3 linked regions of the Cricetulus griseus genome follow. The protein of the gene in region 3 interacts with the protein of the main gene of each other region in a pairwise test. Links are inferred from orthologs where the notes say so. Each region holds a gene or a part of one and is shown on either strand. Other genes may lie near its edges.

Evidence for each region. The genes of interacting proteins can lie anywhere in the genome.
Region 1: the proteins of Disc1 (region 3) and Srgap2 interact in a two-hybrid assay, tested with the Homo sapiens proteins (2 studies listed by BioGRID and IntAct). The link is inferred for Cricetulus griseus from reciprocal best matches to the Homo sapiens genes DISC1 and SRGAP2.
Region 2: the proteins of Disc1 (region 3) and 14-3-3 protein epsilon interact in binary tests that used the Homo sapiens proteins (3 or more experiments, as listed by UniProt). The link is inferred for Cricetulus griseus from reciprocal best matches to the Homo sapiens genes DISC1 and YWHAE.

Annotation. Positions count from the first base shown.
Region 1 is NC_048598.1:57,759,165-57,763,713, reverse strand, and holds part of Srgap2 (SLIT-ROBO Rho GTPase-activating protein 2), read right to left. Parts: intron 2,981-4,549; coding exon 2,656-2,980; intron 1,718-2,655; coding exon of another isoform or gene 1,628-1,717; exon of another isoform or gene 1,613-1,627; intron 1-1,612. UniProt on the Homo sapiens protein: Postsynaptic RAC1 GTPase activating protein (GAP) that plays a key role in neuronal morphogenesis and migration mainly during development of the cerebral cortex. Regulates excitatory and inhibitory synapse maturation and density in cortical pyramidal neurons.
Region 2 is NC_048600.1:89,212,230-89,217,587, forward strand, and holds part of 14-3-3 protein epsilon, read left to right. Parts: intron 1-406; coding exon 407-613; intron 614-3,299; coding exon 3,300-3,436; intron 3,437-5,358. UniProt on the Homo sapiens protein: Adapter protein implicated in the regulation of a large spectrum of both general and specialized signaling pathways. Binds to a large number of partners, usually by recognition of a phosphoserine or phosphothreonine motif.
Region 3 is NC_048596.1:201,839,038-201,845,088, forward strand, and holds the start of Disc1 (disrupted in schizophrenia 1 protein), read left to right. Parts: upstream 1-2,224; coding exon 2,225-3,229; intron 3,230-5,015; coding exon 5,016-5,085; intron 5,086-6,051. UniProt on the Homo sapiens protein: Involved in the regulation of multiple aspects of embryonic and adult neurogenesis. Required for neural progenitor proliferation in the ventrical/subventrical zone during embryonic brain development and in the adult dentate gyrus of the hippocampus.

The sequences.
Region 1 (4,549 bases), on a different chromosome or scaffold from region 3:
AAGTGAATCTTTGAAAGTATTCTTGATCCCAAAGAGGAGTCCTGTGGTGGCTTTGGGATGCAGTATTAACTCCTCCTAATGCAGTTGGGAGGCATTAGGAGGAGTTAGAGGTGGTAGTGGATGACATGCTCAAAATACATTGCATAAACTGAGTGGTGGTGGCGCACACCTTTAATCCCAGCACTCGGGAGGCAGAGGCAGGCGGATATCTGTGAGTTCCAGATCAGCCTGGTCTCCAAGAGCTAGTTCCAGGACAGCCTTCAAAGCCATAGAGAAACCCTGTCTCGAACCCCCCCACTATATATATATATACATATATATATATATATATATATGTATATATATATATACATATATATATATGTATATATATATCATAAATGTATTAAATTTAACAACTAAAAATATTATTAAAAAAGAAAGAGTAGCTGAGTATTTTCAACTTGAGTCCTTGGTTTTAGTAACAGGTGCTTAAACATTTCTGGATGAAATGACATATAATTAAATGGAGGGTAAAGGTCATGAGTACACGGGGATTCATTGTGTAATTCTCTGCATTTCTGTGTATGTTTGAAAGTGTACATCAATGAACACATTTTACAAAGTAGTAGAGATCAAGTATGATCTTTATTTTCTTGACTTCAAAGCCAGTGGGTAAGGGGGTTATTCCTTCCTCCACGAGAGTTAAGGAAGGTTCAAGAGCCAAGTCCTTGAAGATTTATCAGGACAATGCTTCAATTTCCCAACTCACCCAAGTGTGCAACTTGAAACAGCTTCCTTCTACCCAGCACCATGAAAGGGAACCCAAGAGTGGCCAAAAGGGGGAGCCAAAGCCCACGTAGGTAAGTTAGCATCTGCAAACCAGTAGATACTGAAGACTTTAGAGAAATGGCAACCCTAGTCCAAGGGCTCAAAGCAGAACCAAAGAACCTTTGTAAGCAAGCATCCAGTAAGAGTGCTCAGCTTCCATACCCTCCTGGCAAACTTGTGTTTAATACTGCATCCCAAAGCCACCACAGGACTCCTCTTTGGGATCAAGAATACTTTCAAAGATTCTAAGTTTCAAGTAAGCCCCAGGTTTCCCACTTAGGGCTTCCTGTCTGATGGTGTGACTGAAGCTTGCTATGGATGATAGTGACTCATTTTCATTCATCACTATGGCATTTATTAGCCTTTCTTGCCCCCTCCTGCAATGCCAGGGCTGGAACCCAGTAGCCTATGCACAATTGGCAAACATTCTTAGCTTGCATTGCTGAGCTACACCTGTGGGCTTCTTAAATCTTTTAGAATGCTCAGGAAGAATTCTTATCTCCTGGCTCTGTCCTGTAAGGCCACTAGTATGTTCACAGTTTCTAAGACTTTGGTTAATGGCTGGCTAAAAGAGGATCAAGGAGGATTCCCATGGTGCAAGGCAGATTGCTGTCAGGAGCTTAAACAGGATAGAGGGTAAGCAAAGCAAGACATTATAGGCCCAGGGCTCAATATTGGGTGTACCAGGTATACCTCCTTAAGCAGAGCACCAATGAAACCAATGGGGACCATACAGAGCCTCTATTGCCCTTTCCTGATCACCCCAGAAGTTGAGGTGAGGAAGAGGACAAAAGCAATCCCTTAGTTCCTACCTGTTCTAATGAAAAGTATATAGCTGGGAGAGACGTCTGAGAGAACTGCTTGGAGTGGCCCCAGTAGTTGGATGTTTAGAGGTCGAGTTGGGTTTCTAATATTTCATGGAAAACAGAATCATCAATGTGGTGCTGATGGAAAGCAAGGTCCTGCAATCTGGGATTCATCTGCATTGGTACCTGCAACTTTGGGTTGGAAACTTTCTAGTACCTGAGCTTCAAGCAACAAGAATACTTTGGGGTTTTGAAGACAGAATCCGATGGTGGACTAATTAGCTATCTACAAGTATCAGAGATCAGCTTTATGAAATGGAGTGTCAGGAACGGAGTCTTAGCTTCACTAAAGTCTACTATTGTGTTTCTATCATCTGTCTGCCTGCCTACCTACCTACATATCTACTTATCTATCCATCTAGTTTCTCATGTGTGTGTTCTATGTGCAGAGGCCAGAGGAAGATGTCAGGTATCTGTCTCTATCACTCTCTATCTTATTGTTTTGGGGGCAGAGACTCTCACTGAACTTGAAGTTTGTTCTTTTGGCTAGGCTGGCTGACTGGCTAGCAAGTCCTAGGACTCTGCCTGCCCTTAATCCCCAACACTGGGGTTACAGGCCTTTTATGTGGGTGCTGCGGATTTGAATTCAGTTCATCTTGCTCGCATAGCAAGCGCTCTTATGTATTGAACCATCTCCTCAGACCCTACCTTAGTGTCTTAACACATGAAACTTGGACTAATGGACTTTTTTTATCAAAATATTTAGCTGTTGGCTTTAAAAGTTAACAGCCTTGGAAACAGCCAGAATACAAATAAGAAGGTAGAATTCTATTAACTCTACCTTCAGGTTTTGCTGGGGAGACAAGGGTAGGCAGATTGCTCAGTAAGCTGTCTTGGCAGATTCACATGTATGATACTTGCTGCATCCTCTATAGAACGTACAGGGATCTCTTTTAAGTTCTGTTGATTAGCCGGGGCTGCTCTGAGTGGAACTGATGAGTGTAGACTTACTACTTATTGTCCAGGGCCCCTCAGTTACCTGTGCAATGACTTCAGGGTCCACGGGCCGATGGTTATTGAAGCTTTTTGACCTTCCCGCAGTGGCAGTCTTCCGGATCTGTGGACTGTCCAGCCTGTTCTTCAGGGATGAGTGGCGGCTGATAGAGTTGAGGCTCCCATGGCCGCTGATGGAACACTTATCAGGCCCTTCCTTGGGGAGATTCTGGCTCATGATGGGCTGAGAGGATGGACGGCAGCTAGCCCCCACCCCCGGGGAGGAGGAGTCAGTCAGAGAACTGCCCAGCCCATGGCTGTCACTCCGAAATGTTTTTCTGATGCTCCCAGATTCTGGACGCTTCCTTTGCCTTCAACAAACAGAAACGGCATCTGATCAGGAAGCCCTGGGTCCAATGAGCTGGGATTGTGACAGGGGGCAGAGGCTGGCACCTGGGACATCTAAAGAAAGTCACACAGAATACTCTATCTCTTCAGTTTTTCTTTCTCTTGTTTTCTCTATGGTTCTGTTCCCTCCAACCCCCAACCTGGGCAGAGGTGAAATGGATACTTACTTGGTGGTTGTGAGCTTTGAGTTCTAACCATGTAAGATGCTGTCAGAAAAAAAATTGCCTGTTCAAGAGAAAGTTTCTAATGGGAGAAAGATTCATGAAAAGACCCACTCCATTGCCTGCATGAACAGAAACCCAAGCCCCAGGTGACAAAGTCTCGCCATCACCAAGGAGGAAAGTCTCACCATCACCAAGGAGGGGGAGAACTTCTAGCAATAGGAGTTAACTTTTCCACATTTCAGTTTGCTCAACTATACTACAGCAAGTCCGTCATCATCTGGGCTCTGGCAAGAGGCTATTTCTTGTTCATAGACATGGAAGAGATTTTTCAAGGAACTGCAGTGGCACAGACAGAGGGTTCACTGTGTGCCTGATCTTAGGGTAGAAAGGGCATCTACACAACTCCTATGTCACCCAGCACTGGGCCAATTCATTTCATACCACAAAAGGCTCTCAAATGATGTGATGTAGTGGGATCCTAGCCATATGGGTTATTGCCTGATGCTGAATAATTTTATTTTTCTGAACCAGACTTTAAAGGACCTCATCTAAGATGCCATCAAGCTGCTAGTTCAGATAGCAGCTGTGTAGCTCTGATCTCGACTCTACTGAGGAAGATGGGATGAGCTGGGGATCGGGATGGTAATGGTAGGACTGCAGATTGGGGGCCATCTCTTAAGCATAGATAATGCCTAAGTCATTTCTTGTGCTGCTTACAGCTTCGGTCTGCTTTATCTTTCTGGGTCTGGTAGGATGTGGCCCAGCAGCCTCTCTATGAATGTGGCTGCTAGGCAGGTCTAGCGTTGTAAGGCAGCCATTCTCAACCAGAAAAAGGATGCTCTTTAGTCTAGGAAGACCCTGCTGAAATGAGCCCTCCTTTGTCAAGTTTTCCATGACATTAGTACCTCCAACTGCAGACCGAAGAGATTCCTCCCTTCCAGGTTTCTCCAGTGCCTCCATACAACTGCTTTGCAGTTACCTTCCATATGGTCTTGTGCCTTGCCAGACTGTGAGCTCTGAACAGCTAGCACTGGTGCTTGGCACAAAGCAGATGGTTAATATAGGATGTGGAATTAAATCTAAATGCCACACCTAAGAACGCTGCTGATTTCCCTTTTCCTCTCAAGGATGGCTGACTCACAGATCAGAACTGCTGAGAAGGCAGACTTAGGGGACTGTGGTAGTGTCATCCCAGGCTCTATCTGGGGCATAAAGACAAGGAAGACAGAGAGGCTGATTTACAAGGAGCTCAGCCTGGAGGAGGAACCAGGCGTAGCACCAAGTACCAGCAACTCAAGCCATTTTGGAATGCAGAATGAGGGCATTGTTTTCAGCCCAAGGAACTCAGGGTGTAAGGAAGGTTTACCC
Region 2 (5,358 bases), on a different chromosome or scaffold from region 3:
CTTTCAGCTAAAGCTGTGAAGTTCACAGTATAATCTTAACTGTCTGTGGAGAAATTACAAAGCTGGGTATAGCTCAGGAATAGGAGGGGCTCATTGTGCTCAGGGCTCTAGGTGTCTCGTCACTGTAGTGACAGCAGCAAATGTGTATTGTGATTAATGAATGTGTGTGTTGTTCTTTGGAAACACTTTTATACTAGTTACATGATTTTGCTTGAGTTATATTCTGTGAAAGTTTCCCAATAATTTTTAATATGAAATCATTAAGGAAAGAGATGAGTCAAGCTGATGGATTCTGAAGTTGTTTTTAAAAAATGTCTTAATTGTTAACTGTATTTTGTCATGTACTACACGTCATGCTCCAAGAAGTATTTTCTAATTGTGGTTTTTATTTGCTGTTGTGTTGTAGGAAAGGGGACTACCACAGGTATCTGGCTGAGTTTGCCACAGGAAATGACAGGAAGGAGGCCGCAGAGAACAGCCTCGTGGCTTACAAAGCTGCTAGTGACATTGCGATGACAGAACTTCCTCCAACGCACCCCATTCGTTTAGGTCTTGCTCTCAACTTTTCCGTATTCTACTATGAAATTCTTAATTCCCCTGACCGTGCCTGCAGGTAAGTTATGGAAGAACCAAGTTCCTAGTGTGGAGTGCAGAGGTTCTAGAGGAGCTACCTTCTGTTTTCTTGTAGGTTGTCACAGGGTTCTGTTGACTTAATTTGTATGTATTAGTCTTCATTTAGTCTTTGAGTTACTTATGACAGGGTTTTGGTAGCAGGTATCTTGCCTAGCTTATCTTTGAATGTTCAGTTCTCATGTCTCATTCTCCCAATTGTTAGGTATCATAGACATTTACCACCCCACTTCTCTGGGAATGCATTTAATACTCTTGGTGAACTTTTTTGTTGTGGTTGTATTTTGAGACAGTTTTCCTATGTAGCCTTGGTTGTCCTAGAACTTGATCTGTAGACCAGGCTGTCCTGGAACCTAAAGAGATTAACCTGCCTCTGCCTCTCAAGTGCTGGGATAAAAGGCGAGTGCCACCACCTCCTGACAAGAACTTTTTTTTTTTTTTTTTTTTTTTTAATTTTCTGCTGGGCATTGATGGTGCACGCCTCTAATCCCAACACTCAGGAGGCAGAGGAAGGTGGATCTCTGTGAGTACGAGGCCAGCCTGGTCTACAGAACGAGTTCCAGGACAACTTCCAAAGCTATACAGAGACACCCTGACTCGAAAAACAAAACAAAAAAACAAACAAAAATTCTGTTTAATACGAACAACTATATTATCAGTCTCAGTGGTGTTTATGAAACTGTTGCCACACGAAAATTTCTGCACTTTTTTTGGGGGTGTGTGTGTATGTGGGTCCATAGCATGGCAGATGAAAGTCTGAACAACTTACAATTAGGGACATCACATAGTTGTGAGCAAATTTCGGGTGCTGGAAATTGAACTTGGATCCCATGGAAGGGCAGTAAATGTACTTAACTGTTGAGATTTGTTTAAATGCAAATTAAGGATTGTTGTACTGGTAAACATGTATACTACAAAGAATTCATTGTAACCATTTTCATGTGTGTACTTGAGAGGAGTTTAATATGCTCACAATTTTTTATGACCTTTAGTACTAGCCATTTCATCACTTTCACCACTTGACCCAAACTAAGCTTTAGTAACTCCACTCCCCAGTCTCTTCTAACCTGAATTTGTTTGTTCTTGGCATCTTATATAAGTAGAATTGTATCTGTCCCTTTCTGTCTACTCTATTAATTTCTTGGTAACAGTATCTGTAGATCTTCTATCCTGGGGCAGTGACTTATGCCTGTAATCCCAGTCTTCAAGAGACTGAGGCAGGAGGATGGGTGCAGTTGAAGCCAGCCTAGGTTACAGTGTGAAACCCTGTCTCAATCTTCCTCTTCCAAAAGCTGGGTGTGAAGGTCCATCCCTGTGATTCCAGTGCTCTGAAGGTGGAGGCAGGACAACTAGGCATTCAAAGTCAGCTAGGGCTATAGGAGACACTGAATAAAACAAAACAATTTTTTTTCCTCTTCTTTTCCTTTAGGAGAGGGTAGTTGGGTTCTGAATTGTATCCATTGTAGGTATGTGCCACAATTGTGTCTTATCCAAAGACACTTGAACCTTTTTGGATTTTCTAGGCAGGGTTTCTCTGTGTAGCTTTGGCTGTCCTTAGAACTCAATCAGTACAGACAAAGCTGGCCTAGAACTCAAAGAGATCCTACTACCTCTGCCTTCCGAACGCTGGGATTAAAGGCTTGTGCCACCACTGCCTGGCAGGAAAATATCTTTGTCACAAATGTATTTTGGTGGAGGTTGGACTATATAGATTATTTTCAGTCTAGCCTATTTGTAATAGTTCATGTAATTAAAAATTAGTGCCTTGGGGCTAGAGAAATGGCTCAGTGTTAAAGAATATGTTCTTTTAGGGTACCTGAGTTTATTTCCAGCACCTGCATGAAGCAGCTCACAGATGCCTATGACTCCAGCTCCAGGGGATCTGTTGCTTCCAGCCTCATCTCTGACACCTGTTCTCTTGTACATATAAATACAAATACATATTATCAAAAATAGTAAATCTTGGCTGGGTGGTGGTGGTGCACACCTTTAATCCCAGCGTGAGGAGGCAGAGACAAGTGGATTTCTTGTGAGTTCGAGGCCAGCCTGATTTGTAGAGTGAGTTCCAGGACAGCCAGGGCAACACAGAGAAACCCTCTCTGGAAAAACTAACCTTTTTTTTTTTTTCTTAGCTGAGTGAGGTGGTCCATGCTTGTAATCATACCACCTAAAAGACTGAGGCAATTTATGTAGTTGCTTTGAGATAGTCTCACTGTGTCACTCCAGATGGCATGGAACTAGATCTTGTCTCCATGTACTGTTTGTTAGCTCTCTTTGCTAGGCTTGAAATTTCAAGGGTTTGTATAGGAAGATGTTTAAAATGCAACACGAGCATCTCTAGTGATGCCCAACTAGGTAGGGATGCTTGTTATCAAGCCTGATTAGCCTGAGTTCAGTCCTTGGGATCTATGTGATGGAGGGAGAGGCAGCTGTGACAGGTTGTCATCTGACCTTCAGGTGCATCCATACAAAATTCTACAAATACATCTTTAAAAAGTTTTTTTTTTTAATTAAAAGCAGGCTGAACAAAAATACAGTCTTACATGTTTTTATTCAAAGTTATCTTTCAGCATTTGTCTCTGTTACCTTTATAGCACTGGAGAACCGAGAAATAGCCCATTGTTCCTATCTTTATTGTTAATTGAATGCTGACGATGCATTTATTTCAGGTTGGCAAAAGCAGCTTTTGATGACGCAATTGCAGAACTGGACACGCTGAGTGAAGAAAGCTATAAGGACTCTACACTTATCATGCAGCTGCTACGTGATAACCTGACGCTCTGGACCTCAGACATGCAGGGTGATGGTGAGCAAGCTCAGATGTTTCTCTTTGGTGGTTGCCTCTTCTAAGAACTCTTGGTGTTTCTTAATCTTTGTGTAATTTTCAGTCATAGCCTGTCTGCAGTAGTTGAAGTTCATTCCTTCTGTAGGGAATGATGCCCAATTGTCATTTTGGCCCTTGATAGAAAGTAAAAGGCCTATTTGACAATTTCATTCCTGTGTAGAAATATAATGCAAATATTTAAAACTGTAAAAGTTTTGCCTTTAATAATGGGGTTTTTTTAGTACTCGTACTGCTTTAGTCGTTGTAGGGACAAAATGACAGGAAACCATTTCTTTTTTACTTTATTTTTTTTTTAAACTTACATTGTTTTGTCTTATGTGTTTTGACTATTTTTCCTACGTGTGTCTGTGTACTGCATGAATGTCCTCAGAGGCCAGAAGAAGGCAATGATGAATCTCCTAGAATAGGAGTTAACAGATGGTTTGTAAGCAGCCTCCATGTGGGTGCTGGGAATTGATCTTGGGTGCTTTAGAAGAGTAGGCAGTGCTCTTAACTACTGAGATCTCTCTCTATCCCCCATCATTCCTTTTACCTTTCCGAAATTCAACTGGGGGGGGTAGCAAAGGTTGTTTATGAAACTATCTGGTGTTAGTAGGCATTAATGAAATATCTCTTGTGTGTGGGGTCTCCAAACCTCAGACCTGTGTGTGCCAGGTACCTATTTCACCTCTTACTGTACCCTGGTCCCTGTGTAGAAATCTTTTTCTCTAAAAAGCGACTATTTTCCTCTAGGGTTCTACGAGAAATAAAATGATCTTCCTTAGGTCCATGCTTAAGAGTTCTGGTATTGTCTGGTCTTAGATTTTTATTTGCAAAATTACTGTTTTGGGGGAAGTAATTGCTGTTTGTGGGAATGCATGTATAAATTTTAACTTCAAATAGAAAAGTTGAAGTTTGTTGAATTTGTTGATTTTGTTTTTTAAAGGCGTGTGTGTGTGTGCCTGTGTGTAGGTAGTACAATCCAGACCCTTGTGCATGCTAAGCACATGTTCTAACACTTAGCTTTATCTTTTTTTGTTTCTTTGTTTTTTGTTATTGTTGTTGTTTTTTTTTTAGAGGCAGGGTTTTTTTGTGTAACATTAGATGTCCTAGAACTAGCTCTGTAGACCAGGCTGGCCTCGAACTCATAGCCATCTGCCTGCCTCTGCTTCCCAAGTGCTGGGGTTAAAGACCTGGGCCACCACTGCTTGGCCAGAGGTAGGTTTTATTTGGGATTGATGACAAAATTACTATTATTATGAGTTAGTTTTATATACTTGGTGTAGGGAATTGGCAACAAAGTTTTGTGTTTTTTTTTTAAATAAGATTAATTACTTATTAAACAATTATTTTATGTGTATGGGTGGGGTGTTTTGCCTGCATATATGTCTGTGTACCACATGTGTACCTGGTGCTTTCAGAGGCCAGAAGAGATATTGTCAGAACCCCAGGAACTGGAGTTACAGGTGTGAGCCATTATGTAGGTGCTGGGAATTAAACTTAGGTCCTCTGGAAGAGCAATCAGTGCTTTTAACTTCTTAGCCACTCCCCAGCCTCAAGATTTCTTAATTTTTTGTTTTGTTTTATGAGACAGGGTTTCTCTGTATTGCTTTGGAGGCTGTCTGGGAACTTGCTCTGGAGACCAGGGTGGCCTTGAACTCATAGATCCGCCTGCCTCTGCCTCCAGAGTGCTGAGATTAAAGGCGTGTGCCACCAATGCCTGGCTTAATTTTTTTTTTAAATAAGTGTTTTTGCTCGCATGCATAAACATGTAATGCATGTCCAAAGAAGCCAGCCAGAAGAGAGTATCAGATCCTTGGAACTGGAATTACATGTGGCCATTAATTACCTCACGAATGAAGGGAATAGAATTTATGAACTCTGTAAGAGCACCCCAACCACTG
Region 3 (6,051 bases):
CTATAACTTGGATTCCTGGTTCTTTAGCAAATCTCTTGCCACTTTTACAGGGGGTTGGAGGGACAGATGTCCTTCTGGGGCTCCCTTTGTTCTCTCTTGTATTCTGTACCCCCGGTGGGTGCTCCAGGCTGGTGGGGCTCTGTTACTGTGGTAAGCATCATTCTGGGAGGTGACACACAGAAGGACAGCTAGGGTACCCGAATGACTAGACCCACATCAGCCACCTCAGGACTGTAATGGCCAAACATGCTGTCATGACCTAACAAGGAACAGAAATCTGTCTTTTGACTGCCTGTCACTGAAGTCATCATCCCAGTTTTGGGTTCACCAGAGAAAGGGTGAACTTTGAAGAAGACAAGGATCAGGACTGAGCCAGGCTTTGGGAGGTCATACCTGGGTCCGCAGTAGTTATCACCAACTTCTAATTATTATTCCAGGTATGTGTAAGACAGGGTCTTTCCTGGGGACCAGGAACTTGCCAATTAGGCTAGGCTGCTTGCATAGTGAACAGTAGGTATCCTCTTTCTCTCTACTTCCTCAGAGCTGTGGTTGCAGGTGTGTGCCACCACACTCAGCTTTGTGTGTGTATACGGTGTGGTATTTGTGAGTGTGGTGTATGTCCTTGTTAATGGGAATACATTTGTGTGTGTGTCCATGCCCATGAGATGTGGAGATTGAAGGGCAACATTAGATGTCTTTCCTCACCTTTAATTTTTAAAAATTGTGTTTTGATTTAGTCACTTTATGTGTATGAATGTATTTTCTGCATGTACTATATGTGCCACAGTAGTGCTTGGTGCTTGGGGAAGTCAGATGTGGGCATTGGATCCCCTGGAACTGGAGTTATGGATGGTTGTGAGCTGCCCTGTGGGTTCTGGGAACTGAATCCAGGTCCTCTGCAAGAGCAACAAGTGCTCTTGTGGAGTAGAAGCCCATCTACATCTTGAAGATGGTGGCCTTAGAAAACCTGCCCTTGGCATTTCTGTTGGCATAATGTGGGGCTGAACAAGCTTCTCTTCTAGTCCATTTCTTTGAAGTTGGTGCTAGCAAGGTTACTTGGCACCTAGTTGCTACCTTAACCACTGAGCCAGCTCTCCAGACACTCTATCTTTAATTTTTTGAGGCAGAGTTCATCACTGAACTTATAGCTCATCAATTTGGCTACACTGTCTGGTGAGTGAACTTCAGGAATCCTCCTGTCTCTGTCTTCTCAGCACTGGGATTGCAAGAATGTGCCATCATGCCTGGCATTTTTTTTTTAACCTGGGTTCTGGAGATTGAAGGTTCTGGAGATTCAGGTTCTCATGCTTGCACAGTGAATACTTTACCTGCTAAGCCATCTCCCCAGTCCTGTAACTAACATTTTTATCATATTTATATGTTTCAGGCCCTGTTCTAAACTGTTTATACTGATGCTTACAAGAACTTTTACAAGGAGTCCTTCTATACCCCCTTTACTGAGGAGGAAACTGAGGCACAGAGAAGTTGAATAGCTTGTAGAAGGTCACACAGTCATCAGGTGGTATAGTCAGGTTTGGACCAGACAGTGAGGTGGCAGCAGTTGTCACTGTTCCTATTTCTCCAGGATAGCTAGGTGAGGACTCATACAGGTTTAGTGTATGAGATGGAAGGATGGACGGCCTTTGTACCACAGTCAGCCATAAGGCCTCAGGAATGCATTGGGAAAGTAATGTCATGGATAGTTGGATAATGAAAATCCAAGTGTCTTTCAGTAGTGACTGGAATGAGTCACACGCTGATATTTTGGTATCAGGTTGCTCGCTTCCCAAGCCCTCTTCTGGATGGACAAGTGATACATCATTGGCTCTATGACAGTTGCTGGGGAACTACTAAGGCTGTGCCCCAAGATCTGTACTGACATGTTGTTAGACATACAGCAGGGCCTGCTTCTTTGCCAACCAAGGGCTGGGATGCTGTGCTGACCTGGGCATCAGCAGAGGGACACCAACTTTCTTTCTTTTAATTTTTAAAGACAGGGTATCATGTGGCTCAGGCTAGCTTTGAACTCCCTGTGTTTCTGAGGATGACCTTGAACTCCTGGTCTTTCTACCCTCATGTCCCAAGTACTGGTTTTATGGGTATGTTCCACCATGCCTGGCTAGGGGTCGTAAGAGTTTTCATGCTGTGCCTTTGACAGGTGTACTCACAGATGACTTGTATGTTTAGCATATCTGCCACATGCAGTTCCTACTAAGTCAGTAACATGTATTGTTTTCTCTTGTTCTCAGACAGTGGGCACGGCTCACCGCCTGGAGCAGCCCCTCAGAGGCAGAGGCTGACACGGAGACCAGGCTACATGAGAAGCACAGCCGGTCCGGGGATCGGGTTCCTCTCTCCAGCAGCGGGCATGCCATGCCAGACCTCGGCACGACTGGCAGGCCAGGAGTCCTACTACTCACAGACTAAGACTGGGCAGTGTGGCCTCAGCCCCAGCGGCCGCTGTCAGGTGGTGGGCAGCCCTTTGCTCAAGAGCTTGCTTGCCCCTGCTGTGGCCTCTGTGGGCCACTTGCACCCAGATCAGAGCTCTATGAGAGAAACACCAGTGCGCTTTGGGGTTCATTCCAGAAATGGCAACAAACTACTTGAGAGGCTGACCAGGCCATGTAGGCCTGGGGACAGTGGATGTAGACAAGACTTTTTATCTCCTGACAGCTCCAAGTCCCTGGCCCCTAGCCTTGATGTAGCCTTGAGTGAGGGCTCAAGGGGCCTGAAGACTGTGAAGCCTCTGCCATCACTAGAGTTGAATGGCCTTGCTGACATCCCAGTTCTTCCTGGCTCCCAAGACACCTTTACTTCCAGCTTTAGCTTCATCCGACTCTCCCTTGGTGCTGCTGGAGAACGTGGGGAAGCAGAAGGTTGCCTACCATCCCGAGAGGTCGAATCCCTTCATCAGAGCCCCCAAGAGATGGCAGCTGGAGCATCCAGTTCAGACAGGCCCCATGAGGACCCTCGACATCTCTGGACCTTCAGTCTTCAAGCCACTCCAGGTTTGGTGGACTTGGATCAGGTGACAGGGAGCAATAGCAAGCTGGAATGTGACATGGCCTCCTCCTCGGACACTGGCTTCTCTTCCCAGGATCTGTCTTCAGCCAGTGGGTGGGGCGACCAGGGCAGCAGCGGGGCGGATACCTGTGGATGGGATGCTTTGATCAGCAAATGGGAGCCGGTGCTACAGGACTATCTATTGAGCAACCGCAGGCAGCTGGAGGTGTGTGTCCTTCAGGAGACTGTTACTCCAACTCAGTGCTGGGTGGAGGCAGGGAGTGGGCAGCCGACTGAGCGCTGTTCCTGGAAGCTGCAGTGCCTCCTGGGGTGGCTGACTGAAAAGATGTGGCAGCACTTCTGTCTCCTCTGCATCTGAACATGGGTGCTATGCTCTCTGCTTTCCGTCTGTGTGGCTTAGGTGCTAGCATGTACTCACTGATGGGGCCCACACTTCTCCACAACCTTTGACCTGCAGTGCTGGTTGTTCAGCATAACTCTGCTTTTGAAATAGGACACTGGGGACTGGGAAGATGGCTCGGTGGGAAAAGGCACTTGCTGCAAAGCCTGTAACCTGAGTTTGATTCCCAGGACCCACATGGTGGAAGGGGAGAGCTGACTCCTGTAAATTGCCATCTCCCTTGGCCATGCAGTAAATAAATGTGATAAAATAAGACACTGGGAGGGTAAGGGGGCTGATCAGCTGAAGTTTGGAAAGAATGAAAGTGGGCCCCACCCTCCCCTGCTTTGCTTCACTTCCTCCTGGGCTGTGCGGATCGTCCTACAAAGAGATGGTTTTATTTTGGTGTGAGTGAGTGAGTGTGTGTGTGTGTGTGTGTGTGTGTGTGTGTGTGTGTGTGTGTATAGGCTGGAAAACAACTTTGAGTATCAACTTAACTTCCTGTCACTGTTGTGGAGTGCACTATTTAGGCCAGTGAACCTCAGAGATTCTCCTGCCTTCTTCCCCAGAGAGAGCTGGGATCACAAGCATGGGTCACTGTGTGTGTGTGTGTGTGTGTGTGTGAGTTCTGAGCATTGAACTCAGGTCCTTATACTTTCAAGGCAAGAACTTTACTGATCCATCCATCTCCCCAGCACCCAGCTTCAGTGTTTAGAAGTTGTTCTGCAAAGGAAGGCAGGCATGGCTGCTGGTGGCTCTCCACTTTCTTTTCCTTCCTTTCTTCTCCCCGTTCTATGCTTCCTGTGCTGGGGATAGAATTAGGTCCTTGTGCATGCTAGGTGCATACTACCTGAGCTACAAGTCCAGCCCAAGACAGAACCTTCCGCGTGGACCCTTCAAGCAGGGCTGCCCCCCATCCTGGGCTGGCTAGCTTGGAGACAGCTGTGGTCCATGCCCGCCTCCTCTTGGCTACTCTTTTAGTCCCCATGTTTACCTGATGGCTATGCTCTGAGGGTCAGAGCAGAGGTCATTTGGCCTGCGTCTGTGTTCCTTCTCTCCACAAAGCTCTTCATGCTGATAATGACATAGCATTGTGGTATTTGTGGCATTCTAAATCTTTCTGGGGATTTCATGCTAAATTAGGCTTTTTTGTTCAAGGAACTTTTTTTTTTTTTTTTTAAAGAAACACGCATTTGACATTGGAAAACTGTATATTTGTGTGTGTGTGTATTTTTTAAAAATAGTTTAAATAAAAGTTTACTTTAAAAATAGTTTCCCTTTTAAAAATGGTAATGCTTTTCAGGACTTATAGTTTTTACTACAATTTCTATTTATGTGCATGTGTGTGTCATGGTACTTTTGTAGAGGTCAGAGAACACTTGTGGAAGTCAGGTCTCCTTTACCACTGTGTGTGCCTTAGGGACCCAACTCAGGTTCTCAGGCTTGGCAGTAAGGGCCTTCACCCTGGAGCCATCTTGACAGCCCATCCTTGAAATAGTTTTTAGGTGCTCTAGATTTCACAAAACGAACTTACTGGAATTTATTTGTAATCTGTCTCTTATATGTAATTTCTTGCATGTAATTTGTTTCTCATGTTTCCCCTTCAACACAGGTCACTTCCTTAAGTTTAAAGCTTCAGAAACTTCAAGAAAAAGCGGTTGAGGATGGCGATTATGATAAAGGTGAGTTTGAATCTGTTTGTAGACAGTTTTGTCTTTCTCCTTGACATCTGCCTTCTCCACCCCAGGAGTGTGTGGTTGACTCCTCTGAGAGTCTTTGCTTTGGGACAGCTGCCTAGCCTGCCACCCTGTTGGTCTGTGGATTTCAAAAGCACTTTGGAGCATCAACCACTTGGTGGTAGGTTGAACTTTATTGACTGGCCAGAACAGGTGGAGGATCTGCTCTGTAGGAAGCATACTAATTCATCACCTGCCTGCCCATGACTTATGGCCCCATCAACTATACCAAATGGGCCCACATGGGGGCAGCAGGGGAGAAAAGAAGGTGCTGATTCTGTCCCTGGGATGCTGGTGATGGCATCTTCATGGGGTTTTCTGACTTCATGCTCTCCAGGACGAGATGTAGAAATGAGTTGCACTCAAGAGATGTCAGGCAGTGCCCAAAACACCCCTCATGGTCAAAAATATCCAAGAGAAGAAGGACAAGTTATAACACGGGGTCAGGAGAGAGTGGAGCTGGCCAGAGGCCAGTGAGAGTTGACCAGAAAGAGGGGTGTTGATCGGGCACAGGTGGAGGGAGAAGGGGAACTTTCGGGGGTGGAAGGTGCCTTAAGAACTCTGCAATGTGTGGGGGAAGAGAGAGGGCTTAGAATAACTTAAAGATCCTCAGTCCCATGGATGTCTGGAGCCAAGACCTCACTTCTTTCCCCTCCTCTCAATATCCCTGCCACACGCTGGGAATGAAATTATGATGCTCTTGCCAGAGAAGTCAGAAAGAAAGGGCATCCTCCTTCAGTGCCCTTCCTGGTGTTCTCCTTGTGTGCCTGTGGCTATTCACTCAGAGTTTCTGGGGTGGACCTTGCACTGTGTTTTTTTCTCCAGCTTCTAGAAGACTCAGGGTGAGGTTGGAAGAGTTGTGGCTATAGGATTTCTTCCACGGAGGGGCAGGCCCCAGGGCAGTGGCTGGGA